Linked DNA regions of Daphnia pulex. The protein of the gene in region 1 binds, or shares a complex with, the protein of each later gene. Links are inferred from orthologs where the notes say so. Each region holds a gene or a part of one and is shown in the gene's direction. Other genes may lie near its edges.

What was found.
Region 2: the proteins of integrator complex subunit 4-like (region 1) and integrator complex subunit 7-like are in contact, whole or in part, in a cryo-EM structure (PDB 8RC4), measured with the Homo sapiens proteins. The link is inferred for Daphnia pulex from reciprocal best matches to the Homo sapiens genes INTS4 and INTS7. Residues at the interface, in NP_291025.3 of Homo sapiens: Glu536, Met539, Asp540, Arg571, His572, Ala574, Tyr575, Asp578, Ser579, Ser610, Phe613, Arg620, Leu624, Leu627, Gly631, Glu634, Leu635, Phe638, Arg641, Asp642, Arg645, Leu646, Glu648, Leu649, Gln650, Lys677, Leu678, Trp679, Asn680, Val681; in NP_056249.1 of Homo sapiens: Lys137, Asn138, His140, His141, Arg144, Gln145, Gly175, His205, His206, Asp207, Ala208, Ser244, Ser245, Leu246, Val247, Lys282, Thr283, Pro284, His285, Thr286, Thr321, Ile322, Lys325, His326, Gly686, Tyr689, Glu704, Gln707, Gln708, Leu711.
Region 3: the proteins of integrator complex subunit 4-like (region 1) and integrator complex subunit 9-like are in contact, whole or in part, in a cryo-EM structure (PDB 8RC4), measured with the Homo sapiens proteins. The link is inferred for Daphnia pulex from reciprocal best matches to the Homo sapiens genes INTS4 and INTS9. Residues at the interface, in NP_291025.3 of Homo sapiens: Leu53, Gln54, Leu57, Gln58, Arg61, Lys62, Pro86, Ser87, Leu90, Lys91, Ser94, Gln125, Gln129, Asp132, His164, Gln207, Asp208, Pro209, Arg210, Arg212, Asp244, Tyr245, Glu246, Gln247, Trp296, Phe837, Gly840, Leu841, Val842, Val843; in NP_060720.2 of Homo sapiens: Lys2, Tyr4, Lys18, Ser21, Thr22, Leu43, Val44, Gln45, Glu87, Glu89, Leu90, Asp92, Asp97, Thr122, Glu145, Arg146, Val147, Pro148, Lys159, Glu174, Ser176, Thr177, Ser192, Gln195, Phe206, Gly207, Ile379, His380, Ser384, Asn385.
Region 4: integrator complex subunit 4-like (region 1) and integrator complex subunit 2-like share a complex: the UniProt entries of both Homo sapiens proteins name them as parts of the integrator complex. The link is inferred for Daphnia pulex from reciprocal best matches to the Homo sapiens genes INTS4 and INTS2.
Region 5: integrator complex subunit 4-like (region 1) and integrator complex subunit 12-like share a complex: the UniProt entries of both Homo sapiens proteins name them as parts of the integrator complex. The link is inferred for Daphnia pulex from reciprocal best matches to the Homo sapiens genes INTS4 and INTS12.
Region 6: the proteins of integrator complex subunit 4-like (region 1) and integrator complex subunit 11-like are in contact, whole or in part, in a cryo-EM structure (PDB 7BFP), measured with the Homo sapiens proteins. The link is inferred for Daphnia pulex from reciprocal best matches to the Homo sapiens genes INTS4 and INTS11. Residues at the interface, in NP_291025.3 of Homo sapiens: Leu159, Asp161, Thr162, Arg167, Tyr203, Gln207, Asp244, Ser292, Gly294, Trp296, Arg299, Lys323, Met326, Ser327, Asp328; in NP_060341.2 of Homo sapiens: Pro183, Trp191, Lys194, Asp212, Gln288, Gln400, Gln404, Lys462, Met465, Ala466, Leu469.
Region 7: integrator complex subunit 4-like (region 1) and integrator complex subunit 1-like share a complex: the UniProt entries of both Homo sapiens proteins name them as parts of the integrator complex. The link is inferred for Daphnia pulex from reciprocal best matches to the Homo sapiens genes INTS4 and INTS1.

Annotation. Positions count from the first base shown.
Region 1 is NC_060025.1:5,267,393-5,271,539, reverse strand, and holds the start of integrator complex subunit 4-like, read left to right. Parts: upstream 1-1,347; 5' UTR 1,348-1,562; coding exon 1,563-1,613; intron 1,614-1,680; coding exon 1,681-1,839; intron 1,840-1,954; coding exon 1,955-2,083; intron 2,084-2,150; coding exon 2,151-2,234; intron 2,235-2,321; coding exon 2,322-2,384; intron 2,385-2,462; coding exon 2,463-2,621; intron 2,622-2,724; coding exon 2,725-2,864; intron 2,865-2,927; coding exon 2,928-3,120; intron 3,121-3,232; coding exon 3,233-3,407; intron 3,408-3,519; coding exon 3,520-3,607; intron 3,608-3,674; coding exon 3,675-3,792; intron 3,793-3,856; coding exon 3,857-3,979; intron 3,980-4,042; coding exon 4,043-4,147. UniProt on the Homo sapiens protein: Component of the integrator complex, a multiprotein complex that terminates RNA polymerase II (Pol II) transcription in the promoter-proximal region of genes.
Region 2 is NC_060021.1:1,404,129-1,408,054, forward strand, and holds the start of integrator complex subunit 7-like, read left to right. Parts: upstream 1-1,126; 5' UTR 1,127-1,239; coding exon 1,240-1,333; intron 1,334-1,449; coding exon 1,450-1,579; intron 1,580-1,643; coding exon 1,644-1,767; intron 1,768-1,825; coding exon 1,826-2,468; intron 2,469-2,529; coding exon 2,530-3,124; intron 3,125-3,191; coding exon 3,192-3,926. Other genes in the region: 40S ribosomal protein S19-like, read right to left, coding at 33-223, 288-457, 526-596. UniProt on the Homo sapiens protein: Component of the integrator complex, a multiprotein complex that terminates RNA polymerase II (Pol II) transcription in the promoter-proximal region of genes.
Region 3 is NC_060027.1:3,457,078-3,461,170, reverse strand, and holds the start of integrator complex subunit 9-like, read left to right. Parts: upstream 1-1,293; 5' UTR 1,294-1,431; coding exon 1,432-1,440; intron 1,441-1,509; coding exon 1,510-1,704; intron 1,705-1,768; coding exon 1,769-1,971; intron 1,972-2,031; coding exon 2,032-2,233; exon of another isoform or gene 2,234-2,295; coding exon 2,296-2,429; exon of another isoform or gene 2,430-2,496; coding exon 2,497-2,609; intron 2,610-2,673; exon of another isoform or gene 2,674-2,682; coding exon 2,683-2,863; intron 2,864-2,931; coding exon 2,932-3,371; intron 3,372-3,447; coding exon 3,448-3,638; intron 3,639-3,702; coding exon 3,703-3,870; intron 3,871-3,940; coding exon 3,941-4,057; 3' UTR 4,058-4,093. UniProt on the Homo sapiens protein: Component of the integrator complex, a multiprotein complex that terminates RNA polymerase II (Pol II) transcription in the promoter-proximal region of genes.
Region 4 is NC_060027.1:806,229-810,224, reverse strand, and holds the start of integrator complex subunit 2-like, read left to right. Parts: upstream 1-1,196; 5' UTR 1,197-1,311; coding exon 1,312-1,616; intron 1,617-1,677; coding exon 1,678-1,816; intron 1,817-1,877; coding exon 1,878-2,094; intron 2,095-2,150; coding exon 2,151-2,281; intron 2,282-2,344; coding exon 2,345-2,536; intron 2,537-2,605; coding exon 2,606-2,755; intron 2,756-2,837; coding exon 2,838-3,014; intron 3,015-3,069; coding exon 3,070-3,318; intron 3,319-3,380; coding exon 3,381-3,945; intron 3,946-3,996. UniProt on the Homo sapiens protein: Component of the integrator complex, a multiprotein complex that terminates RNA polymerase II (Pol II) transcription in the promoter-proximal region of genes.
Region 5 is NC_060026.1:13,198,591-13,201,776, reverse strand, and holds integrator complex subunit 12-like, read left to right. Parts: upstream 1-1,173; 5' UTR 1,174-1,295; coding exon 1,296-1,466; intron 1,467-1,520; coding exon 1,521-1,624; intron 1,625-1,682; coding exon 1,683-1,805; intron 1,806-1,863; coding exon 1,864-1,980; intron 1,981-2,044; coding exon 2,045-2,525; 3' UTR 2,526-2,603; coding exon of another isoform or gene 2,604-2,652; 3' UTR 2,653-2,686; downstream 2,687-3,186. Other genes in the region: adapter molecule Crk-like, read right to left, coding at 458-489; eukaryotic translation initiation factor 2D-like, read right to left, coding at 2,604-2,652, 2,730-2,861, 2,937-3,186. UniProt on the Homo sapiens protein: Component of the integrator complex, a multiprotein complex that terminates RNA polymerase II (Pol II) transcription in the promoter-proximal region of genes.
Region 6 is NC_060018.1:12,410,290-12,414,262, reverse strand, and holds integrator complex subunit 11-like, read left to right. Parts: upstream 1-1,173; 5' UTR 1,174-1,293; exon of another isoform or gene 1,294-1,356; 5' UTR 1,357-1,373; coding exon 1,374-1,499; intron 1,500-1,568; coding exon 1,569-1,751; intron 1,752-1,817; coding exon 1,818-1,934; intron 1,935-1,995; coding exon 1,996-2,094; intron 2,095-2,150; coding exon 2,151-2,444; intron 2,445-2,505; coding exon 2,506-2,724; intron 2,725-2,802; coding exon 2,803-2,916; intron 2,917-2,981; coding exon 2,982-3,299; intron 3,300-3,361; coding exon 3,362-3,504; intron 3,505-3,570; coding exon 3,571-3,697; intron 3,698-3,758; coding exon 3,759-3,812; 3' UTR 3,813-3,914; downstream 3,915-3,973.
Region 7 is NC_060019.1:12,571,749-12,575,708, reverse strand, and holds the start of integrator complex subunit 1-like, read left to right. Parts: upstream 1-1,160; 5' UTR 1,161-1,230; coding exon 1,231-1,408; intron 1,409-1,646; coding exon 1,647-1,843; intron 1,844-1,916; coding exon 1,917-2,555; intron 2,556-2,615; coding exon 2,616-2,698; intron 2,699-2,755; coding exon 2,756-2,990; intron 2,991-3,063; coding exon 3,064-3,305; intron 3,306-3,366; coding exon 3,367-3,493; intron 3,494-3,561; coding exon 3,562-3,801; intron 3,802-3,861; coding exon 3,862-3,960. Other genes in the region: histone H2A deubiquitinase MYSM1-like, read right to left, coding at 1-49, 118-464, 530-736, 796-895, 951-1,003. UniProt on the Homo sapiens protein: Component of the integrator complex, a multiprotein complex that terminates RNA polymerase II (Pol II) transcription in the promoter-proximal region of genes.

The DNA of each region.
Region 1 (4,147 bases):
CAATCTGCATTTTAAAATATAAGTGAATTTTACTGTTTAATTAAATTATACAGAAAACATAATGTTTTTTTACCTTCTAGAAAACACACAATCACTGACATTTCTTTCGATGGTTCCAGGCTGAGAGTACTCTTGGAATCACAACCAGCAGCGGAACAAAGCAGGGGACAGAGACTTCTGTATAATTTCATAAAATTTACATTAAATGTGCAATAAAAAAATTTCTATTTCTAAATTTACAACATTGCTTCACCATACTCTCTATCACTGTGCTCTGATAAAATCACGATTCACGATGGCAATTATGGAAAAAGTTCAGTGCTTCCACTTTCAAATCGCTGAAGCTTGTTCCAATTCCCCAGACGACAATGTTGTCATGAGGTTAGAGTTCTTGACACCGAAACGTATTGGAACAGAGTGCTGTCTTTAAAGATCGACGGGAAGCCTAGATTTCCCAATCTCAGCATTTGTATTGACTTTCTGTTTTCCATGCCGTTCAGCAATGTTATAGCTGAACGGGAATTTAGTGCTTTTAAACTGATCAAAACGGACCATCGTAATCCGCTTCACAATCTAACTGTTTGTTCTCTCCTTCGAATCAAGCATTGGGGGTCTTACGAAGATCATTCTGCTTCTAGTGTCCTTATCCCTAAAACACTTGTCGATAAAGTTAAGTCCGTTAAGGCTAATGTCTCCATTGCAAATGGAATGTTGAGGGGTCGCAATACCAATAACAACCGTCAGGGTAAGCCGATGACTGATGGAGTCGCATAGGGTGGCCACAATTATGGAAAGACGGACTTCAAATACATAAAAACACTAAAAAGGCTCTCAGGTACCGCAAAATAAAATAGGGGTGATCCCTCAAGGGACGAGGGGTGGGCTCAGGGGTGCGCAAAGGGGCGGCCAAGGACGCTACGGAAGCCCGGTAAACCAAAAACTTTAAAGTCGATTTACTCAGGGATGCGTTCATTTGCACAAACTTTCCCATATACCATTCGAATCGGCTTAACGAGCTCTATCGAATGGCATTAAGTTTGATTATTATTATTATTATTATTGGAGATTCCGTGCCACTCTAGGCCACTGCCGGGTTTTTAACCTTTTATATGTTCTTACCGTTAACTTCCAACAACCTCCCAAAAAATGTGAAAACTTTTTCAATGTGAGAATGTTATTCGGAAATGTCCAGTCAAACACTTGTCAAAAAGCAATAAAGAAATTCGTTTTGTTTTTTCAATTTCTTTTCTTTTTCTTTTTTTTTCATTGAAATGAACAGGGTTTTTTGGGGGGGTTTTCCCTCGAAAACAGAAAACTTTAAATAAGGTTTTCTGGCAACGCCACGGCGTATCCCAGAAACAACAGAAGTGGAAGCACTGGAAAAGTTACTGTTTAGCACATACTAAATGTGGCAGACAGGGAGACAGCCACAGCTGTAAATCATACATTGTTTACAAAATTTACAAGAAGTAAGAAACGAAATATTCCAAAAAGACAAAAAAAAGTGCCGCTGCTTGCTGATCGAAATCTGTAGAACAGAGAACAAAATCAAATAGCCTACTATGGCGGTATTGAAAAAAAGAGCTTTAGCTGAATATAGTCAAGTTGTACAGGTACAAGCAGAAGCAAATGAATAATTTGAATATACATTTGTAATCTATATTTAAACTAAATGTTTAGGAGGAAGCATGTAGTAAGCCTTTACAGTTAATGAAGAAACCTCACCTTTCAAGTGCAGTAGAGGATGAACATGTAACCGTCAATACATTTGAAAAACTAGAAACAAGTGAAGCATTGGTGGCCTATTTAAACCATATCCAGCTCAATCTTTCATTCCAAGTAAGATTAAAGACTGTTAGAAGATATGTTTATGTGTTGTTTTTACTTTACTGTAGGTCATACAAATATTGCCGTCATCACTAATCAAATTGTTTTAATTTATTTCATTCTTTAGACTGATGACAAAGTTGTTCTTTTGAGAAAGCTTATTGACACTTACCATCATAGTGAACAGTCTTATGTACGCCTGAAAATTGTTTGCATTTTAGGTGACTTTAGGAAAGTTCCAAAATTTGATGTTCAGGTAATATGCTTTGTTAAATAAATTTCCATTATTTGTTTGTGATGCATTATTTGTTTTTTTATTATAGATTATAATCAATGAAATAATAAAACTTATTTCAACTGAGACTTCACATAAAGTATGTGCTTCAATGATATGCACATTGAAAAAGGTATCTATATAACAACTAGTCGTAATATACTATAACTGTTACCTAGATAATAATTAATTGTCTGTGATTTTTTTGTGTTACAAATAGCTAGGCAGTTTGCTTTCATCTGATAGCCCAGTGCTTGGAAAAATTATTGCCATTGGCACTAAGGTATGTAGGCTATCAGCTTAACATTTAAGCATTTTATCAGTCTATATATTATTGTAATATATTTAAATGAATTTGCAGTTACTTAACAATTCCAATCACCTGGTGAAATGCCACTGTCTTTCTTTACTTGGAGGCTTGAGAAGTCTTAATAATCTTCAAGGTGAAAATGTAAAACTCATCTGTAAATTTACGAAATCTCAAGATCCTCGAGTGCGTACGGCTGCTTATGATGCACTGGTAAGAATATCCTATTTGTACTCTTTTTTTCTATCACTATTCTCTTCAATGACTCCGCTTCTTTATACATCAATATATATTGGTCTTATTATTATTTATATAGCTCCAATTGCATGACCGGGGGCAAAAATTAGAGCTGTGCATATATTCAGATGTGTGCTCAGCCTTACAAGATGACAACGAAAATGTGAGACAGTCAGCAATGCGAATTATCTGGGTTTTATCTCATACATATCCTGAAAGGTAAAACCAATGCTCTGAATATTTAAAGCAAAACTCAATAACTAATAATAATTTTTTCTGTAGTTGCGTTGTTATTCCTGGATGCCAAGATGAAGTGCACTTAGTCGATGATGCTTTCGCTAAGATTTGTCAAGCTATAGGTGATTTATCAGTTAATGTAAGAACATTAGCTGCAGAGTTACTAGGATCCATGGTCAATGTAAATCCACATTTCTTGGAACAAACCTTGGACAAAAAGTTGATGTCTGATATGAGGGTACATATTTATCGACTTTTTTTTACATATACACTCGACTTTTCTTATTATGAGCGAGTAATTTTAAAATTTATTTTTATTATTATTAATTTTGTTTTTTCTCCCAAAATAGCGCAAACGATCCGCCCACGAAAGGCATTGGGAAACTGTTACATCAGGAGAATGGGCTAGTGGTGCACGTTGGGCAGATGATAAACCTAGAGAAAATTTAGATGCCGAATCCGTTTCTCTTATACATAGTGGGGCTTGTGGAGCATTCGTTCATGGTCTCGAAGATGAGTTTATGGGTAAATGTGATTTTATATTCCCCCTGCTTTTGATTAATTCGACTTCAGTTCATTCAAATATTATCCTCTACAAACCTTAACCCTTTCAAATGGTGTTTATCTTACTTTATAGAGGTTCGAAGTGCTTCTCTCGATTCGCTATGCCAATTGGCGCTTTCCAATCCAAGGTTTGCAACACTTTCTTTGGATTTCCTTGTAGAGTAAGTAATGCATTAAAATGCTGTTGTATTATGCTTGATCATTTAATAATTTTCCGGCACCCGGCAGTATGTTTAATGACGAGATTGAGGAGGTGCGTCTGAAAGCCATAGACTGTATGACCAAGATTAGCCAACTTATTGTGTTACGTGAAGATCAATTGGAAATCATCCTAGGAGTGCTGGAGGTATGGCGTATCTATTTTTTAGTACAAAATTCAGAGTTACTTTATTAAAAGTTGCAAATCGTAGGATTCTAATGTTGAAATCCGCGAAGGATTACATCGAATGTTGGGAGCGTGTCGTCTCTCTACAAAGGCTTGTCTTAAGCTGTGTGTTCAGGCTTTGCTTGATAATCTAAAACGTTATTCTCAAGTATGTTTTCTGAATGCTTCGCCTAATTGAAGGTATCTCATGCGTAATTTAAAATCTGTTTAGGATAAACGTTCGATATGGCGTTGTCTGCAGTTGCTAGGACCCCGCCATCCAGATTTGACACTTCTCCTTGTTCCTGAATTATTAACCGTTCACCCTTTTTTTGAT
Region 2 (3,926 bases), on another chromosome or scaffold:
TGGTATGACACGTTTGGATCTTTTTTCACATTTCACGCCTTGGCCGACTTGATCTGGGATGCAATTCTGTCCAAATCGCGGAATCCTTGAGAGGTGAGACGGCGACCACCATTGGCGTCCTTCTCCACCAACTTGATGGCTTCGAGGGCCTGCAACACCTTACGGGCGACTGAGCCGGAGCTGCCGCAGAAATGGGATGGCCTCACACCATTGTTTTTGTGTCCTGCATAAATAATATCTCATTAAGCAAAAGAATTCTTTCAAATATTTGATGGTTTCCATCATACCTCCATAGATTCTCTTGACGGTCTTGACTCCGATGGGAGACCTGATGTAGATGTGCCTGGCCAGAGATGCCATACGGATGAGGAACCAATCTTCATCAAAAGGTGCCAACTCCTTGAAGACGGCAGTCTTAACAAGGTCAGCCCATTCTGGTACCTTCACTTTGCCAGACCTGATAAACCCGAACATCAACATAAGTACACTCAGAAGCAAAGTTTGATTTCAGACTTTTAAACTCACTTTTTAAAGAAGGCAGCCAAGGCCCTGACAAACTTGTGTTGATCGACGTCTTTGACAGAGACTGATTTCATCTGAAAATATACAAGAAAAGAAAAGATACCGTTAACGACTTGTCAATTGCTAGGGAAAGTCACATGTAGAGCGATGTTGGTAAAGAATTGACAAAAGTTAATGAAAATGACGCCATGTGCAAAACTTTTTAAAACTACAAAATTACAGCTATAGATGTTAGATTAATTTGTATAAAGAAATAGTACTTTATTCTAATTGTAACACTGAAAAATGTGGAAACTTCACCTTCGATGATGGCTGGCTGCGAACGATTTTTTTGCCGAAAGAGGAACTCTAGTAGCTGCCAACTGCCGATGAAACCCCTGATGCTCGATCCCTAAACACAAAAGAAGGGGCAATTTTTAGGAATTTCTTTGCAATTAAAAGATGATTTTAATTGAAAACTAAAATATATGATTTGCAATATTTAAGAATTTTTATTTAAACATTATTTGTATATGTTATTTCAATCGGAATCGAATAATTCCAATATATTCATAAATGGAAACTTTGAAGAGAGGAGAGCGTGTGGGCCGTGGGGTTACTGATTAGCACTTTGCCGGAATTTAAAGGGGATAGGATGTCAAGAGGGACAACAACATTGAACTTCAAAATATTCGAAGGAAAAGATAGTTTATTCAAGATTTATTAACCGAGGATAAAATGGTTTCCGTTGGTTTGAGAACCGCATTTAATGAACATTTATTTGGAGAACCAGAACAAGATGCAAACACAGCTTTAACAGAGCTAGACAAAGGTAGTTTACATGTTTTAACCTACTATAGCTATAGCTGACAATTTCCATAATGAAATTTTATTTTTATGTTATTAAAGCTTCTGATGATAATTTCCAAATCTTTAAAAAATTTTCAGGGTTACGCTCTGTGAGAATTGGTGAACAATGTGAGGCCATTGTTCGTTTCCCTAGACTCTTTGAAAAGTACCCATTTCCGATTCTGATAAATTCAGCATTACTGAAGCTGGCAGAGGTTTTCAGGACAGGGTATGAATTTACAAGTGTTAATGTTTGTTTATAATATCCAATCTGTGTTTCCGTCTTTCTTTAGAACAAATTTCCCCAGACTGTGTGTTCTTAGAGTCTGCCAGCAAAGTGAAAAGCATCTAGACAAGATCCTCAATGTGGATGAATTTGTCAAAAGAATATTCACAGTTATTCATTCAAATGATCCAGTAATTTTGCAAATTATTCTCATTTTGAATCAATCAATATTAATTCTCTTATGGTTAGATTGCAAGATCTCTGGCACTGAGAACTTTGGGGAGTATGGCAATAATTATTTCTGATCGGAAATCAGTGCATCACAGCATTCGCGACAGTTTGGACTCGCACGATGCTGTAGAGTTAGAGGCAGCCATCTACGCCGCATCCAAGTTTGCCGCACAGTCTCGAACCTTTTCCGTCAACATGTGCAGTAAAATTGCCGAGATGATTCAGGGACTGGCCACACCTGTAAATATCAAGCTCAAGCTCATCCCCATCTTGCAGTACATGCACCATGATGCCCACACGGCCGCCATGGTTCGACGTTTGTGCGCACAGCTCTTGCCCAGCTACCCTGCCCAAAATTTCGTCTGTGTGACACTGCACACACTGACGCTGCTGGCCAGTGAAACTCTGGTCGAAATCCCTCAACAGCTACTCCTGCTTCTTGAATATTTGTGCGATTCCAGGAGAGGTGTCCAGGCTCAAGTTTTGTCCGACTTGAAAATTTTGGCTGTCAAAGGTGCTCATCTGTGGACTACGTCCAACGTGGATGGCCTCATTGACCTACTGCTAGATCAGCCTCACCTCGAATTGCAGAGAAGAACGCTGGACGTTCTAGTCACGCTAGCCATGGCTGAAGCTGCAAACTGTTTTATCCTCAAAGCTGGTAATTCAGTTTTTAAAAATCAAGATACCTTTTTGTCGATTTCATTAAGCATTTTTATTAGATACAAAGTTACACTTGATTTGGAATCAGTGCTGCTATAGTTGCGACCGGTCTGTTGCAGCGAAAGCAGTTCAGCTACTTGTCCAACTAGTATTTATATCTAGCAAACAAGATATATTATCTTCTTCAGTGCCCGATTTGAGCCAAGACGCTGCCCTTGCTGTCGAATCGCTCATATTGGGCCTCTGCTTGGCGGGAAAGACCGAAGAGAGGGAACTTAAGATTGCGTTGACATCAGCCGTCCAGCTGAGTCGTGTCGCCGGGCCAGAAATCAGCGCCACCATCATTGATTGCCTCACTCGCCTTTTGCTTCAATCTTCCGGTTCCACGTTAGTCCTGCTGTGCCAGGCCCTGGCTGCCATCGGAGACACCCAACCGTCTGCCATTGTACCAGCATTGGTCGACATCATGTCAATGCTAAAGAAACTCACCGTTCAAAGCGATCAAGAGTTGTTGGCAATTCCTTTATTGTGCGTTCTCATGTTCCAGACGCACGCCTCTCATTGTTGGTCTCAACAGGCCAGCGAAGTGGTCCACGAAGCCATCTTCCGGGTCGACTTGTGGGTGGCTTTCCGGATCGCCCGCTCTGCCACAAGGTATAATTCCTTGAGCTTTAAATGTTTTCAATCTAGTTGGTAATTAATTTCTTATTTGGTTGTTTAGATACGGCCACCATTCGATTGCCCACAAGATACTGGATCGCTTGTTGGGCCACATTTCGACGGAGCATCTCTACTTTTGGATTCAGGGATTACGCGATTTCACCCTGGCCGAATCTCACCTGAGTTGCGGCACTGGACCCCCCGATGGTGCAGCCGTTTCTCTCATGGAAAGATTAGTGTTGGCCTCGAAGCTTTATCTGCAAGGATTGTCTTCACTGAAGGCAGCCACCAGCCCGACCCGCGTTCTTCAGTTTCAAGCCGAATTCGGTCGGTTGCGAGTCGAATTCCTGTCGGCGTGCTCTCAACTTGTCCAGGCTTGTCGAACGCTTCAGACAGCCCCACCGCCGGCCATCGCTCACGCCGTAGCGGCTGCCACCCGAGACGAACTGCAGCGCTGCGGTCGAATTACTCACCAGCTGAGGAAGTCGGTGGTGGTGCTCCGTCAGGTGGCCGAAGCCCTGTCCAAGCTGGGACAAAGCGCCTTCGACGCCGACCAGGAGAGCCTCACGAATTTGCAGCTACAAAAGCAGATGGCCTTGATCTTGGCCCAGACGGTCGAGTCCACCTGCCTCCGGGCGTCTCAGCAAGGCGTGATGACTGTCGAAGACGATTTGCCCATGATCAACAAGACGGTTCAAGCGGATCACGTCGCTGTGCGGAGTATGGCCACTCGATGCGCTGATGCCGTCGATCTCGTAAGACGTTTTCGCGATGGCAACCCTGATTTGAAACTTAT
Region 3 (4,093 bases), on another chromosome or scaffold:
ATGGTTAAAACGGTCAGACGAGGTCACACACAACAAACACGTCGTAAGCAAGCTGCTGCTGCTTCCTCTTCTTTCTCTCTTCGAGTGTTGAGAGACACATCTCACATTGCTCCGGCTTCAATTTCTTGTAAGAGCCTTTAGCAGCAGCAGCTATCGTGTGTTGGAACACACATTTTTCTTCTTCTCTCGATAGATCACTCAACCGACCCAGCAGAGTATCGACATTTTTTTCTCTTTTTTCATTTCTGGTGAATAAGGGGGGAGGCCCCTGAGCTCTTTTGATTTCCCAACTACACTACTGTACTACTACTACCACCTACCCCATGGTATATATCAAACACACACACAAAAGCTTCTCTTTTTCATTCTTTTCTTTCCTTTTTGATATGGGAAAAGGGCCAGCAGCCGGGCAGATGTTTCCCATTTTGTAAAAGACCGTTCACTCTCTCCTTTTTGCTCACGTATATATATATATATACAGAGGAAAAATGCTCTCCCCTCTTTGGGTATAGTCGTTGGTCGTCTCCGACACCCATTTGTGATGTGTGTGTTGTGTTCCCCCCCATCGTATTTCATTTCCCTTTCTCTCCCCCTTAGTAACCGTGTCTGCTCTTATTTCTCTCTTCTCACACAGACACACAGCAGACTCCCGACCAAACACAGAGGCCAAGCCGATCATCGACCATGTTGTTTTCTTCATTTTCTTGCTTGGGTCTTGCTTATTGGATTCTTTTTATTGTGTGTGTGTTTTTTTTCTTCTGTTGTTGCAGGGGCATCAAATATATATAGGAGGCATTTCGACACCGGAAGCTGAAGGAGCATCACGTATCATCTCTCGCTGTGGAGAAAATGGTTCAATGACTTGGCCTTATCATTCACCAGTCCGGTTAGATTTTTTGGAAAGTTCCTTTTTCTTGGTTGCACCAAGATTTAGTTGAACACCCTACTGGACGGAGAACTGATAAGGGCGTGTCTTGCAACACAATCGACGAAATGGACGAATTTTTTTTTTTTGACAACCAACAAAACTGTATAGAGTGATATAATATTCTTTCGTTCTTAATCATTGACAAAATGTGTGTAACTTTGTAGCTTCTTTTGTTTCGCTTGTTTGTTGCGTATCCGATGGCGTTATTCAATACACATTCTCAAAAGCGAATATGTGATTCAGATTTCAATTTTTATTCTAGATTTATTTCTTTCGCGTTCCGGCGCTCTTATTTAAAAAAATAAAATAATAAAATAAAATGAACCTATCTTTTCAAGTTGAAAAATGACAACGCTGCATTGGGTTTTCAAATGTTAGTCTGCTAGCAGCTCGTGTAGTAAGTACGAACCGGACAAACAAACAAGTCTGGATCTGTCTGTCATATACCGAGTTTGAAATAAAAATTCTTTCTTGTCACTTTTCAGATAAAACGCGCCCACAACATGAAAATCGTAAGCATTTTAATATTTTCCTTTCACCGAAATGGAGCGGTCTGATAAACACAGTTTCTGTTTACATAGTACAGTCTGGGCGCCAACCCAAATAAACCCTGCAACATCTTGAATTTCAAAGGCGTTTCGCTGATGCTCGATTGTGGGCTGGATATCAACTCGGCCCTTCATTTTCTACCTCTGCCTCTCGTTGCCAGCAAAAGGCTCTCAAATTTACCAAACTGGATCCCGAGAGACACACAGGATGCTGCACTTCTTGATGGAGTGAGTTAGATTTGATCTCTTCTCTATCTTCGTGTCATTTCAAATGTTCATTTATCCTGTATAGGAACTGAAAGAATGTGAAAATCGAGTGTTGGTGGATGGCCCAATAGAGATACTGCCCCCTCAGTCAGACATTTTTGACATCTCTGATGTGGATACCATCTTGCTATCGAATCATGCCTGCATGCTGGCCCTGCCATTCATCACTGAAGAAACTGGCTTTAAAGGGAGGGTATATGCAACTGAACCCACCTTGCAGATTGGAAGGTATGCAACCTGCAATTGTTGTCACACAATATTGAGACTATATTGTATTCTTTGTCGTAGGCTCTACATGGAAGAACTGGTCAACTACTTGGAAAGGACTCCCAAAAATCAGCGAGCAAACAGATGGAAGCAAGTACTCCAGTCTCTTCCTCCTCCTCTCAGTGGGGCTCTGAGACCAAATGATTGGAAGAAAGTCTATTCCACAAAAGCCATCAATGCAGCCCTGGCAAAAGTTCGCATGGTTGGCTTCAACGAAAAAATTGTACGTCCTTTTTCGGATTTTTAAAAAATTCTTATGAAACAATATTAACCGACAACTTTTAGGATATCTGTGGTGCTTTAACTGTGATGGCCGTCAGTTCTGGATATTCCCTTGGTAGTTGCAATTGGATCATTCATTCCGGCTATGAGAAGATTGCGTACGTGAGCGCTTCATCTACTCTCACGACCCACCCAAGGTTCTATAAGCTTAATTAGTGTTACTTTTTTAACAAATTAATTTTATACCATTTTTTCCATATACAGGCCGATGGATCAAGTTGCCCTTAGAAATGCCGATCTCTTGATCTTGACAGCGTTGACTCAGACCCCCGTGGCCAATCCAGATTCAATGTTGGGCGAATTCTGCATGGCAGTTGGTAATTCAAATAGTAAAATTCTATTAAATTACATTAGAAAAAAACTAACAATGTTTCCTTAAACCTTTTGCAGCATCCACGTTACGATCGGGCGGATCTTGCCTAGTCCCATGTCACCCTTCCGGCCTTCTTTACGATCTGTTCGAATGTCTCTCAGTTCATTTAGACAATATTGGTCTTAGTCAGATTCCGCTGTTTTTCTTCTCTCCCGTGGCCGAAACTTCCTTGGCTTATTCCAACATCTTCGCTGAATGGTTCGGCTTGTCACATTTATTATTTTTCCGAAAATGTTTAGTCAACTTATCATCCTCATTTCATATAGGTTATCTTCAGGCAAGCAGAGCAAAGTTTATCTCCCAGAAGAACCATTTCCTCACGCCCATCTCATCAAAAATGGTCGACTGAAACACTTCCCAAGCCTGCATGCCGAAGGATTCACCAACGAGTACAGACAGCCATGTGTCGTATTTTGCGGTCATCCTTCCCTTCGTTTTGGCAATGTAGTTCACTTCATAGAGTTATGGGGCAGTCATAGCAACCACAGTATCGTCTTCGTTGAACCCGATTTCCCTTACCTGGAAGCGCTGGCCCCCTATCAACCACTGACCATGAAAATCGTTCACTGTCCCATTGACACGAGTTTGAGCTTCACTCAAGCCAATAAACTGATACGCGATCTCAAGCCAGGAAACTTACTCGTTCCAGACGTTTACCTCCACCCGCCAGTGTCGGCTCCCTTAAGATCAGACTTGGTTATTCAGGGTAAGTCTTCGATCGATTCCTGTTGAACTGGATCTAGTTGGCCAGTCAGTTAACCTTATTCTTTCTTTTTTTTTAGAATTGGATCCACCAGCATTGGGTATGAAGTCCTACCAGGTGTTACAGTTACCAATTAAGAGGAAGCAGGAAAAAGTGCATCTTGATCCGGCCCTGGCCTCTCGTCTCGAACCCATCCAATTTAAAACGGGCCTTTCAGCTTCTACTCTGACTGGAAAATTGGATGCTCGTGACAATAAATTTACTCTGAAAGTGAGTCCTTTGTTCTCCTAACTTGTGACAGTGTCTCATAGCTTTTTACTATTTTCAAATCTAGGTATTAAACGAAGAGGAAGGAGGCACATTGTACAGTGCGTCGGAGAGAATGCTGCCTCGCCATCCTTGGGGCTCTGTTGACACAACTCAACTGTTGCATTTGCTCAGTCAACATGGTTTGCTAGATGCTCGGGTCGAAGACACTCCTCGAGGCGTCGTCATTCACTTGGTACTACCCCGTATATCATTTTGTCATTTCAAGAGTCGTAATAACTTGTCTTTCCAATTTTGTCTTTTAGCCAAGAGAGGACACTGTGATTCAACTGGAAGGTTCCAACACTCATGTTTACTGCCATGATGAAGCGCTACGGAGAACTTTGAGGGATATTTTGCTACAATGTCTACCTTGTTTGTGAACATCACCATAAATACATTCGAATTTTTCTCTTATA
Region 4 (3,996 bases), on another chromosome or scaffold:
CGTCTGCCAGCTTTTTAAACGTTCTCGTTTTTTCTTTTAAATGTTTTTTTTTCCTCCATCGTTTGCAATTTTCTAAAAGACAATAAAGGTAAAAAAAAAATAATAATTAAAGATTTCAAAATAGTTGAATCCGAGCCGAAAGAGAGAAGAAACGAACAATTTAAGTACTAGGGAAATAAAGAAATGGAGAATGGCTACGTGAAAACTTTGTTGCGATTGCGGGCCCCTGTAAAGATATCAAGGAAGAGATTCAAGAATCATCAATCATTTTTCCCCCCTGCGTGTGAGTGAGCGTGTGTGAAAGCGTGTGCGTGAGTTAATGTACTGCTATCCCCCCTCCCCCCACATTTCTTTCTTGGCAACACACAACATCAACAATATGTAAAAGGATTGTGAAAACCTCTTTTACTTCCCCCTAATGGCTAAATATTACTTTCGCACGCCCTGCACTCCCACCCACCAACGCTCTTTCGGCTAATAATCACCTATTTTATTATTAACTGTATTCGTGTCAAAAGTCATGAAAGAAAATGTCGTCCCTTCGTTTTTTTTCCCCCTCTTGCTCGATTCCATAATTTCTTTTTGTTTTCTCTTTTGTGTTTGTGGGGTTTCATGATTTTCAATTTCAAATTTGCCGCGCACAGCAACGGTTTGCCTTTGCTTTTATTTTTCTCTCCCCCCCCCCCCTATTTTCTGTTGTTGATAGTCACGCCAATGTCCAGCCGAGGTGATTGTGTCCACTGCTGCTTCTTCCTACTCTCTTCTCTACTTCTTACAACCACATGGTAATTAATTTAAAATATTGATTGCGCTGATTTTTTTTTTAATTGGATGAGTTTCGTTTTTATACGTTCAAAGATTGTGTTTCCTTTCCGTCTTCAACTTTTGGATGCAATACCCTCCACATTTTGTAATCCATTACGTGAGAAGTGCGAGTTACAACATTGTAGCGCAAATAAATGAAAAGCAATGGGGAGAAACGTCTTTTTAAATCATTATAAGTTTATAACTTGCTATTATCATGTCCGTTGAGTGCAACATTAGTGCCCCTTGTAGCTTTGATCATCTTGTCATCTGCTCAGTCGGATGACGTGAGTCGTGAGCTATCCGAGCAATCCGGATTCGCCCTAATAAGGCGCCGTGTAAACTGTAGTTCCTACGTTTTGCCGCTAGAGGATCAGAATCAGTTTCGTCTGCTCGTTGCCTTGACAACACAATGGTTCACATGAAAATCAAGCTTGCTATGTAAACCACTCCATGGCGATTTGTTGATTGATTGTGGTCTTAAAAACACAATATTTTGCCAATAAAATGCCGATGCCACCGATTCGTTCCGTTTCGAAACGAAATGTTTCGCCTCGTGTGTTTCAAGCTCTACAGAATTTGGATGTAGATAACTTAGCGGAATGTAACGAAGAAGAAATTCGAGCTGTTATGCCATGTTTGGCTAGAATGAGTTTGATAGGCCCACTGGACCAATCTAGTGAATGCACCAAATCTCGAAGAATGGTCTTCCAAATATTATCCGGTCGTGAAATTGTCAATTCCATAGTTGGGTTACTTTCAATTGATTTCCATGCTCTTGAGGTTGACGTCAAGAAAGAACAAATGCTACGGTATTTTCTTTACTATTGTTATGACTACTTCTTTTATTTTTAATCAAAATTTGTATTGCAGTCAAAAGCTTGGTAATCAAACTGAAGACTCTGTCTTGATTCAGTCACTATCAAACAGTTATGCACTGGAATTTGAAAGGAGTGATCCAACGAGGAAATTAAGGCTGTTTCTCAGTGAGCTCCTCACACTCATGGCACAAGTAGATTCCTCATAAAGCATTCATTTTCCACAATATTATTGTTTCTTATTTTAATTTCTAGAGCAAAGAAATCAGACCAGAAACCACATACAAAAGCAGTGAACTGTTGGACCAGGAAATCTATTTTGATGAAGTAGCTGATGTGCTGTGTGTTGCTTTAGCAGAGCTGACAATTCTGCTACCTATAACAGAAGTTGCAGAAGCTCTCTTGAGAACACTTCACGGTCCATCTTTCATATGTCGAATAGTGGCTAATATGCCTGATACTTTCAATGAAGGTAATATTTTTCCAAAGTGTGGTTTGAACTATATTTTAGAAGTAGTTTGTTTCAAGTTTGCCAGAGTTTGATTAGCAATGGTGAAAGATATGAAGAAGAATCCTTCCTTGGACGGGCCAGATTAGAAACACTTAGATCCCTCTGCAGGATGTGCCCAAATCAGATTTTGATGATCCAACTTAAATGTGTAAGTTTTTTTATCTCTGACAAAGCTTTGTTCTCTTTAGTTTAAGGTTTTTTTCCCTATCAGGTGGAGATGTGCAGAATGCCGGCTCTGGCTGTTTTACTTAGTTTGGACTATGCATCCTGCCATAAAATGATCAAAACAGATAAAATTGAAACCCAGTTGGGAGATGTCGTACCGTTTATCTCTGGTCTACTTTTGGGTGGAGATGCAAATATCCGCACCTGGTTTTCTCTTTTCATTAGGAATGGACAAAAGGTTTAGCTTTCTTTAAATGTACTTTATGTTAGCCGTCAACGTATTTAACTCTATTTCCTTATTTTACAGCGACATGATCGTGCCACTGCGTTACATACTTTACGCCAAGAGCTACTGAGAAGTTTGCAGTCGTTTGTTCAAATGGCTGCTGATGAGCCGTTACCTGACCGTTGTGCTGTTGATGCGTCGGCCCTTTTACGACTGTATTGTGCTTTAAAAGTAATTCTATTCATTCCAATAATAGTATGTTAGATAGGGGTGTTGGAATTGAAAAACTAACCCTTTATTTCAATATTTGTAGGGTATAGCAGGAATGAAGTTGTACGACGAAGAAGGTGGGCTTTTATTGCAATTAATTACCTGTCGTCCACCGCCAACCGAAGCTGGCCTTCGTTTCGTTGCCCTGGGACTCTGCATGCTGATGGCTTGTCCATCTCTCATCGCCTTGCCCGACCAAGAACAAAGCGGTTTTCGATGGGTATAATCGCAAGTTATTCGTAATTAATATCAGTTGTTATATTTTGTGATTTTAGGTGAAATGGTTGGTGAGGGAAGAAAGCTACTTTGAAAAATCGCCAGCGACTTCCTCTGGCAAGTGCATGGAAACAGCGAGGAGCAGTTTTGGAGAGATGTTATTACTAATGGCTATCCACTTTCACAGTGGACAGTTGAGCGCAGTTTGCGACCTGGTCTGCTCAACGCTTGGCATGAGGCTTTTACTCCGGCCCGCTTCTACTGCTCGTATGAAGGTGGCATTTACTCAAGACATATTCCCAGAGCAGGTTTGAGCTTTGTTAACAAGTTTATTTGGTCAAAATCTTATCCTTTTAAATTCGAATGTTAGGTGGTGACATCTCACGCTGTCCGAGTGCCCGTCACTCCCGGTTTGAATGCAGACGTTGCAGGATTCCTTCCAGTTCACTGCATCTATCAGTTGTTGAAAAGCCGAGCTTTTAGTAAGCATCGCGTGCCGATCAAGACCTGGGTTTACCGCCAGCTTTGCGAGAGCCGTCCTCCATTGCATCCACTTCTTCCTAGTTTGGTCGAAGTTTATGTTAGCTCGATCCTGACGTTATCTCCATCGAAAAACCAACAGAATCAATCGGGCGTAGCTGGTTCCATTGACATTGGCCATGACCCAATCAGCGAAGAGGAAATTCGAGTTGTGTTCGCCAACAGTTTTTCCAGGAACGTTCGCCGAGCTAGCACAGACGGGCAGGAGCATTCCGTCACGGCCCAGCTTTTACTTTTATATTACGCTCTACTGTATGAGGATACTCGTCTGACTCAAGTCAAAAACTACTTGGTGGCTGGTATCAATATCAAATCCTATTCTCAGTCGTTCTTCGCCGATTTGCCTATTCGATATTTGATCAGTCAAGCGGAAAAAGAACAACACCTTTATGCGGGTAACATTTAAAAGCAAGATTGGCCATTTTCTCCAATCCGCATGTTAATCC
Region 5 (3,186 bases), on another chromosome or scaffold:
CATACAACATCTAAATATTTATCACGACGCCCACCCCTCGGAAAATCCATGGCCTATCTTAGATGACTCTCCGGATATACGGGAGAGAGGGGACCGACCAGCAGGATGTAGAGAAAAAGGCAGTAGAGGAGTTAATCTTCATGATCATCATCTGTCAGGAATCAGTCATTTAATTGAGAGAGAGAATAAGGACATTGGCAATATGAGAGACTTTCTAAATCGAGGATGCAGGATGCATCACTGATTCTCTCATTTCTAAACAATCTTCCTTTTTTTTCTTTACCGTCTGGCTGGGGGGTTTTACTTGAAACCTAAATTTAGAAGCTAGAAGTTATCTGGTGGTTGCAGCCAACACAAACAAACAGCAATTTCCTGAGAAATTCACACCAACTTCTGGCTGATGAAGGAATGAAACAAATGACCTGTTAGAGATTAAAAAGGAATTTAAATGATTTACCTGTTCCTGTCGGCTGGCTCAAATGTAGACATGGCAGCAAGCGAAATGGGGTGGAAGCTTGCACAATCCAAGAATTTGTTCGTCAATTAGAAAATCCCCTCACACCCTTTTGTGAGGTGACTAAATGTCTTTTATCTCGACTTGAAAACAATCGACAACCGTGTCCAACAGGCCTCACATCCTCACTGAACCTCATACAGCACATATAACATCACTTTGATATGTAATCATCACAGGAGACGTGATATAACTAGTAACCTTTCGATCGTTCAAACGGATTCTATAATCACCAAATCAACTACACATCTCCTTTTCGTTGTGAGGTAATCACAGAGAGAAGAACAACGGCTATCTTGATCCTAAAAATTTGTGTTAAAAAATAACTCGTCGAAAGCTAAAACCAAACCAGCAACAGCGAGTCCGTCTGTGCAGAAGCAGAATATGAATGTCTTTCTGGCTAGACTCACAAATCTATCTAAGCCGTCGTTAGCAAACTACCGCTAGGTGTCATCGCTGAGTCTTATCGCTATTTATAGAATTCTTGATAAAACTCCGAATTTCTTTCTTTTTTAAAAATAAGACATCACATTGCGCGCTAATTAAATTTGGTGTCAAAATTTGCATACTTTTTGTTCATTAATAAAAAGAAAGTGTTGAAAATAAAATTGCACAATTTATTGAATCTGCCACCAGAGGGCCATTTCCTTCTTCACATTTATTTTGAAGTTGATGTTGATTCGGACAGAAGTGCTGTCGTGAATGGTTTGCTTTGAAAATAGCTCCAAGAACTCATTACAAATATTTACTATTATTAATATTTTAAATTCTAAGTTTGATAATGGATGGTCTTATTGAACCATATTTAATTAAAGCTATCAGTCTTTTGCATTCTAGTGCTAAAGATTCTGGTGACCAATTGAAATCTATGTTGGATGAAGCCATAAGATTAAAGAATGAAACCAACTCTTCTGTCAGCAAGTTGCCACCACCTTTGACGATGATCAAAAGGGTAATATATTTTTACTTTTTTTATGCTGTTGTGATTAAATCTCTTGCATTACAGGAAACAAAGAAGAAAAGTGACTTCTTCATTGATGAAGATGTTCCTCTCAGTAAAAGAAGGAAGGAATCTCCTCGATCTTCACAACCTTCATCTCCATCTTCTAGGTATGTATCCACAGTTTTGGATAAACTTTATACTAGTTAACTAAGTCTTGTATTACAGTGTTCTTGAGAAAAACAAGGAATCTAAGCGAAAACATGATAACATGTTCAATGATGATGAAGTTGTTCCAAAGAAATTCAAAGATTCCCCTCGTTCTTCACAGCCTGGCTCACCAGCTGGGAGGTGTTTTCCATTTGATTTCTTATTTATTAATTTTATTTTTAAAATTATATTTTCCTAGTTCACCACGAAATTCGAGATCTCCAAGTGTGGCTCGAAAAAGCGACGACCTCGATTCTTTGAATGACGCCGATGACTTGGCTCAGGAAATTATGGATCTTCACTGTGTTATTTGCACGTAAGTCTTATTGTTTGTTATAGTGATAAAAATATTCAAACTTTTTCCTCTCTCTACGTAACAGTGGCCTGGATGTTACTTCTGGAAATCAGCTCGTAGAGTGCCAAGAATGTCACGGCCTTTATCACCAGGAATGCCACCAACCGAATATTAGCGACGCCGAAGTTAACGATCCTCGATCCGTCTTTTTCTGTTCCGATTGTAGCAAGTCAATGAAAAAGACCGCTAGTCGACCTAAATCAAGTAGCAGTAGGGAAAGTCCCATCACTTTCTATAAAAGTCGATCTGACTCTCCGAGTTCCGTGAGTGGCAAAAGCTCAGCCGGCCTGGTAGTTAACTTCAGCAAACAGCAAACCTTGCCCCAGAAGCCAAATGGCGGCAGCGGTGCTTCAAGTAAGTCAACAAGCTCATCGAGCAGCAGTAGCAATTCTTCATCTGGAAATACTATTGGCAACACATCCCTCATTAACGCCGATAAACGACTGCAGAACATTAAGAAACGGGCTGCCACAAAATTGCAAGAAAAACGGAAACCTGGAAAATAGTCGGTTGTATATTAAACAGGCACCATCTTTCCGTGTTGTTTATTTCGGATTCCATTCTCTTATACAATTTCGCAAAAATTATTTTTTATTTTTGGCTTTTTTTAAGTCGAATCCTTGGATAAATTGCCTGTTAGAAAAAAGATAAAATTTTGTAAAGTTAATATTTATTTCTATTATTTTATTATTTAGTTTTAAAAAAATTACTTGGGAATTCCGTATTCATCGATGAGCAAATTTCCGACAAAACTAATTTGGTTACCCTGTACCAACACCAATTGACCCTTTTTAGCTGGAGAGCTGGTTATTGTTGTGCTAGCCGCCACGCCTACTTGGCACCTATTCAAACAGACAAGAGAAATTCGCTTACTTTTAAGAGACCCCTTCACCTAAAGAATGTGAGACCATTGGTACCTTCGAGCAAATTCGTCCAAGTCGATCCTGTACGTCTCAAGGCCACTGATGAGGGTGACCTTCTTGTTGCCAGCTCTCGATGCCGTGGTAATCTCGACTGGCTCCAACTCTCCTTTCACGATGACGGGAGCCGACTGGTTTGGGAAGATCATTTCATAAACTGTTGAAAGTTTAGCTTGACAGCGGCTCATTAGCTCTTCCCAGCTAAGCGAAGCTGCTACTTCGCCTTTTTTTAACATGACGTCACTCA
Region 6 (3,973 bases), on another chromosome or scaffold:
CTATTTTGTTACTAATCGACGATCGACGATTGCTGTTTTTTTTTTCTTAAACTAAAAAATAATAATATATTTTTTTTAACTTAAGCGAGTAACATTTTAAATTTCAACCAAATCATAGGATTTTTTAGCTTAAACTTTCTTCCACAGATGGATAGCATAGTATATTAGCGCTGAAATAATATGTGAATCCAATCGGTCCCATGTCCCCTCTATTGTGCATCGCGCTGTTTGTGGTGGTTTCAAGACAAGAAGCAAATTTTCTATTCGAAGATTTCAAAAATCAATCAGCAAATATTTGATGGCCGTCAGACCTCTGTCAGCGTCTGCCAGTGAAGCGCAGTGAAGTTCGTTGTGGACCAAAATTGTCCATAATTGAATTCGGAGGCATAACAAATTTGGACACATTTGCCTTATTTGGCTGCAGTGATGGATTCACCACAGATATGAATAATTTGGTGGATGAACGTCAGTGATCCATCAGGGAAATCTATATTGGTAGATAAATTATTTAAGCAATCTGCAATATCCTCAAATAACCCCGCCCGTGTTTGCTAGCGTCGAAACCAAAATGCGTCATCTCACTCAATTGATCAAATTCCATAAGTTCTTTCATACCTAAATTCACAAACAAATGTCGTTCCCTAATTTAATTTTTAATCCACCCAGTAAAAACTAAAAAGTTTTTGTGTACCTGGGTAGGCCAGAACTTTAATCTTTATGTACTTTTAAGAAATACTCGTTTGCGTACAGGACGTGTGGCCCAATGGATAAGGCGCCTGCCTACGGAGCAGGAGATTCCAGGTTCGATCCCTGGCACGTTCAAATTTTTTTTATTAACATTTTTTTATTATTTTTTGAATTCCCCGTCGTTTTCATAACAAAATGAATTTAATAATCGTGTTGCCCCACCTACGGAACAAAGGATTTTAGAATAGATTCCTCGCAGGATCGACCTTTAGTGGCTTATAAACTGGCTTAGTAAGTTAGTATCTGTATGCGCAGTATTTGCGATTGAAAAAGGGAGTTACGTTGTATTAAACTCAATTTAGACGCTCATTAATAAATGCTCCATTAATTAGATGGGATAAGATTAGAAAATTGGCTTGTCTTCATTTTCAATTTCGAGTTTTCGACTTCCGATTCCGAATTCCAAAATCCGAATTTTCCCCAAAAGTGATCAAAGCTTGAAATATGGCAACAGAGTAACCGGCAATATTTATTTCCAATTTTCATTTAGAAAAGAAATTTTTTCACGCAGTGCTGTTGAATGTTGATGATATAAATTTGAATCAGGTTTGTGGAAAATTTGAAGGACAATTGTAAACTATTAATTAAGGCTTTGGTCGTTTGAAAAAGGCCAATTGAATTCAGCTATGACAGATATCAAAGTAACACCACTTGGGGCTGGACAAGATGTGGGGAGAAGTTGTATTTTACTACAAATGGGAGGAAAGAATATCATGTTAGATTGTGGCATGCATATGGGGTACAATGATGAGGTAAGTTTAGTTTTGGTTGTTCAAACATCAAAGTTTTGTTTGTCCTTACCCAAATCTTTTATTCTGTAGCGACGGTTTCCAGACTTTTCATACATTGCTGACGGAAACTTGACAGAATCCCTAGATTGTGTCATCATATCCCATTTCCATCTAGATCATTGTGGGGCTTTACCATTTATGACTGAAATGGTTGGATATAATGGCCCAATTTACATGACTCATCCAACAAAGGCTATTGCTCCTATCCTTTTGGTAAGATTCTTTTTACATTTCACAAATTGGTATTATGTTACAGCATAATTTATACTTGCCAAACAGGAGGACATGAGGAAAGTGGCTGTAGAGAGAAAGGGTGAAACCAATTTTTTCACTTCAGCTCACATCAAGGATTGCATGAAAAAGGTTATTGCTGTCACTCTGCATCAAACTGTTCAAGTATACCATTATTTACTTCAGCCAGGGTTTTCATATCTTGATTAATTTTTTTTTGTTATAGGTAGACTCAGAAATTGAAATAAAAGCTTACTATGCTGGTCATGTGTTGGGTGCAGCCATGTTTCACGTCAAAGTAGGCAACCAATCTGTGGTGTACACTGTAAGTTAATATTGGAAATCTTGGTTCTGTGCATACCTGTAAAATATATCTATTAGGGAGATTATAACATGACTCCGGATCGACACTTGGGTGCCGCCTGGATCGACAAATGCCGACCCAACATACTTATATCGGAATCCACTTATGCTACAACTATCCGTGACTCTAAACGCTGTCGAGAGCGGGATTTCTTAAAGAAAGTACATGATTGTGTAGACAGAGGAGGCAAAGTTCTCATTCCCGTGTTTGCACTTGGTCGAGCTCAAGAACTTTGTATTCTTTTGGAAACTTATTGGGAACGAATGAATCTTAAAGCGCCAATCTACTTTGCTGTGGGTCTCACTGAAAAGGTAACTTCGATTGAAATAGTTAATCTTTTGAATCCTCTTAAACTTTTTTCCCTTTTCATAGGCCAACAATTACTACAAAATGTTCATCACCTGGACCAATCAAAAGATTCGCAAGACTTTTGTTCAAAGAAACATGTTCGAGTTCAAACACATCCGTCCTTTCGATAAAAGTTACGCCGATACACCTGGTCCAATGGTCGTTTTCGCCACTCCTGGGATGCTTCACGCAGGTCTTTCTTTGCAACTCTTCAAAAAATGGGCACCCAATGAAAATAACATGGTAGGAAGAGATAAATTATAATACAAATGTATATTTTCAATTATTTCAACTAACTGGAATCCTTTTTTCCCCACGTAGTTAATTATGCCTGGTTACTGTGTCTCTGGAACGGTTGGTGCCAAAGTTCTCAGTGGTGCTAAAAAAGTTGAAATTGAAAACAGACAAGTTATCGAAGTGAAAATGTCTGTTCAGGTGAGTTATTAGGATTCACTAATACGCCAAATATCTGTCAATTAATCCCATTCATTTGTTATCAGTACATGTCATTTAGCGCTCATGCCGACGCCAAGGGTATCATGCAATTAATCCAATATTGCGAGCCTCAAAATGTGCTCCTTGTTCACGGAGAGGGCGTAAAAATGGAGTTCTTGAAACAGAAAATTCAACAAGAGTACGGTATCGACTGTTACATGCCGGCAAACGGGGAGTCGGCGTACATTCCATGCAAACCTGTTGTTCCTGTCGATGTATCACTTTCATTGCTGAAAAAAGAAATGGCTCTCTATGATACGGTTGGCGCACCAGACCCGAAACGACCTTGCCGTATGCATGGTGTGCTCGTCATGAAAGACAACGTAAGTGTACTTGATTTAGCTATACTTTCTGCCTACATTTTTATTCATTGTTTTGGCCATAGGTTCTCAAGCTTATGGAACCCGAGCAGGCATTCGGTGAACTAGGTTTAAACCGGCATTCTATCCGATTCACTTCCTGTATCCAACTAAGATTACCCGGAACCGCTATTAGAGCTATGGATCAGATACAGCTTATTTTGAATTCGTAAGAATTCTCAATACTTTTTTTTAAAGATAATATAACTTGAGCATCTTTTGTTTAAATTTACAGACAAAATACTAACTACCCGGTTAAACCGTCTGACGAGGGGTTACTCAATTTGGAGTCGGTTAGTATTAAAATGGAGACGACAGACAAAGAAGATCGCAAATCCATGATGATCTCCTGGGCCTTGCAGGTTAATTGTTGTTTTTAAAAACAAAACCTAATAAAGTTACTGAGTTTCTATTATTTTCTAGGACGAAGATTTAGCAACGTGGATTATGTCTTCACTACGACAAGTCATTGTTTGATAAGGTCGCGTAATCTCTGTGAATTACCTTTCATGAAATGAATACCCTCAATATGTATTGATAAAAAAATGATTAATTTTTTAAATATCACTTTCACGAATATTTCCGATTGTCCGAGTGTAAATTATTTCCTTAATGTTCACATACTTGTGGATCCCAAC
Region 7 (3,960 bases), on another chromosome or scaffold:
CCTAGGTCTTCCAGGCGCTTTCTTAACTAAGAGTGGATTTTTTACCCGCCTAAAGAAAGAATTTTAAAAATATCTATATTGAATCAATGGCAGTTATTGTTTAAATATTTGTCATACCTTATTTCTTTTGTAGGAGATTTTGGTTTTGAACGGTTCGTCTTTTTGCTATTTTTTGTCGGAGTCAAGTCCCACTTGGTAGGTGCCACACTAGCAATTACTTCTTCTGTGGATACAGCAGGGACTTCTGCTTCATAAACAATGTCACCCATAGAAAAGTGAAAGGTTGGTTCTTCGTTTGTAACTTCCACTTCATTGATGAACTGAGGAGGTGATGGGGTATTGGAAATGTGAACTGAGGAACTTGTAATAAGTTCTGGATGTGATTTAATGTAACTTTTCACTTGAAGAGTAGTCTTGGTTCCAACTGCTCTAGCAACCTTGCTCCAATTTTGATTGTGTAGACCCTTTAATAAAAGTATCAAGTAAGTTACACAGTCCTGCCATAATCAGTAACCACTCCGACACTTACAATTCCTTTACGAAGAGATGCAACATCATCTTTAGTCCACATAGGACTCACTTTTGAAGCAACTACAGCAGATGTTGTGGTTGATGGAGGGTTTGCCATGGGTAAACTGTTTGAAAAGTGTTTTTTCTCTTCATGGAGCATATTCTCCCAATTAAGTGTTTTGTTCTTATCTTCATTGGCATGATCCATCATTGGCATATTCCAAACCTGTGAGAAAGTTAGATCTTGCTGTACCCAAATATAAACCACTTTGAATAAAAATTTACTTGTGAACTTTCAAGAAGCCAAGGATGTTGCATATAATCGCCCAATAATTCCGAATTCTGTGTAGGAAACTCCCCGGCATCGTATTGGTTCAAATCCGTCCTGTGATCAAATGTCAGTTAGTACAAATAACATGCAAACAAAAGCTTGTACATACTCAAGATTTAGACAGAAATCCCCTAGAACATCAACTTCATCGTCGTCTTCCATTTTTCTTAACGAATGTGTTTTCACAACAAGCTTGATGCCTCTATCACTAATTATATGCCAATTTGCTGCAGACGACGTGTTGAGGGGGGGGGGAGGAAAATGTCGTATGCGATTCGCTTTACAAACAGAAATGCAACCACGCTTTCTTGCAGAAGACACTCGCAGACTCGGCTCAACCAAAAACAAAATCAGTTTCGAAGAGGTGTTAATGCTGGACGGTAGTTATAATGGATCGGGGCAAGAATTTGCCGCCTAAAAACTCCAAGTCAAAACCCCTTGGATTCTCTGGTGATTTTATTGCTCTTGGACCAAAGCAAAGTCGAGCAGAACCAGTTGATGCAAAGAAATCAGGATCTTCTTCAGGTGGTCCATCAAAACCCACTCCTGCTCCACTTCCTTCTTTGGGTAAAATGAGAACAAAAATATTTCTATTTCCATTCTTTCTTTCCCTGGTCCTGACCCTGACCAATAACTTGCTTATCATATCCTTTTATAAATTAAGTTTGAACATGGATTATAAAATTTTAAACTTATCCACATTCCTGTTTAACAATCTCTTTTAACTCGGTTCAGCTACTATTATTATTTATTCTTTCAGTCTGTACATTAGCCTTAAAGAATGATATGTTTCATGACTGTGTAGGTCCTTCAGATAAAAAGCGGGAAGCACCAAGCCAGCTGCCAGGTTCATCTCAAAATCCAGCTAAGAAAGCAAAGCCTGGGCTCCCAAATACTGCATCCTTTACTGCATTGGGAAGACCTGCTTTGAAGGCTGCTGATCCTCCCAGTCCAGGTTCGACTGGTAACAGACTAGAGCCATGGGAAGAAGCTGCTATAGAGGTAGAGTTACTCAATCTTCTGGATTTTATCAATTTATCTTTAAATAATGTTTCTTTATAAAAATTTATTCAAGATTGAAGCATCAGAGTTGTTGAATGCTATTGGAGAGGCTGAAAGTAATGATGATGAAGAAAGAATTGAAGCAATCCTATGTGGATCAGTTAAGCAACTGAAAGCCTTTAGTCTGAGTCAACGGAATAAAGTGGAACCCATTCTTGCACTAGCCCTTGTCTACTTAGCTAAATGGAGATCGCAATATTTCAACACCGAATTGATTGTTGAAGCTTTATTGGTATTACTCAAACGAGACGTTACCGCCAGTATTGGTCCTTTTAAAGGAAGGACAACTGCTTCTGCAGCTTCACTGGCTTGCAATTTGTTGTTAGCCGGTCTAGAAGATTCAACGGAATGGCCAGAATCTTTCTTGAAAGTTTTTGTCGAAGATTCCGTTGGAGAACGAGTTTGGGTAGATCGCGAAGAATGTCAAGGGTTTGTCGAGAATATCCTAACGGCATTCAACACCAAAGTCCCTTCAAGGAACATCCTTCAACAAGAAAGTGCTACTGGCACTGGACTTGGATCTTCTGGTGCTGCTAGTTCTCCTAGTATAACTTCTCTTGGCACCACTGGTCTTGAAGATGATGCCAGCGTGGATTCAGATAACAGTCAGGGTGGGCTGCTTCGAGGTTCAACTCATCTCGATCAGCAACAGGTAACAAGTGGGATTTAAATTATGCACATAGTTGTATTTTCATTGTTACCTTTTTCTTAGGTTCGAGTTATTCCTCGATTTCAACATCTCAAAGACATGGCAGAAGCACTTGTCATGGAAATAGTAAATCAACATTTAAGCAGGTATTAAAATATTTGAGTTGCATTAAGGTTAGGGTAATATAATCAATGGTTTCTCAGACGGCAGCAACCGGCATCTGACCTCACTACAAGGAACTTCTTAAAGTTTTTGACATCAACAGCTGGTTTGCCCGCTGTAAGAACTCAAGCTGCCCAGCGATTGGAAATGTGGCTTTCCAATCAAAAACTTGTGAGACCAGCCACCGACCTCCTCCTCTCGATCTGCGTCAATTGCAGTACCGAAGCTCCTACAGACACAGATGTTCTAAATGCTCTTCTACGTTTGAGATTAAAGGTAGTAATAACGTCAATGTTTTTGTTTTAATTTCAGAACAAAAATAGTAATACTTTCTTCTTTTGATTTTCAGAGTAAACCGCTGCTCCAGACATATCTAACTTGTTTTAAAGAATTGGTCGAGCAGCAGGTGGACCAGCTTCCACTCATTGTGCGGTTGTTAATATTCAATGAGCTCTCCCCTTCTCGAGGACCGAATAACATGGCAGTACTGGCTGTTTTGGTCCAACCGTGGCCTGATCGTGCTGCCACAATTTTAGCGGACGTTTTTATGGAACTTCTACTCAATCGTGACGATTACCTTCGGGCACTCAGGTATTTTGCATTTGCAATTCACAGACGTGGACTGGGTATAATTAATGTTATATGTTTTTAGAGCACTATTACGTGAAGTGGTTCGCGCTCTCCGCCACGACTTACCTTTACCGACATTTTGTGCAGCTCTTTTACACGGTTGTATGCAAGAGAGACGCAAAGTTGCAATCAGAGAATTCGAATTCAAGGTTCGGTAGTATTTAAAAAAAACCATGTTAGTAGCAATACGAAATAATATAATGACTTTTGATACCAGGATCGGCTTTTGAATTCATTGGCAGACTTGACGACTTTATGCATTTTCCTTGCCATAAGTCCAGGTGTGCGTGAATCAGCATCTTTGGTCGCCCGTGGAGATTTGAGAGAGATGGAACTTTTCCGACAGTTTCACGTCCAAGCATCGGCCGTCCAAAGAGAATCGATCAGCTGGTTAAGAACGTCCATCCCGTCCGTGTTTGAGCCCAATCGGGTCGATTATATGCACTGTCTCCGTAAAGTAAGTGTTGTAACGTTCAATTAATAGTTCATTAAATCTTAACCTACAACTTTATTTTAGGTTTTGTTTATGGAAAGTGGAGAGCATTATTACAATAAAGACGGTTGGCCACTCGAGTCGGATCGACCCATTATGATAAGATTGGCTTCTGAAATTCCC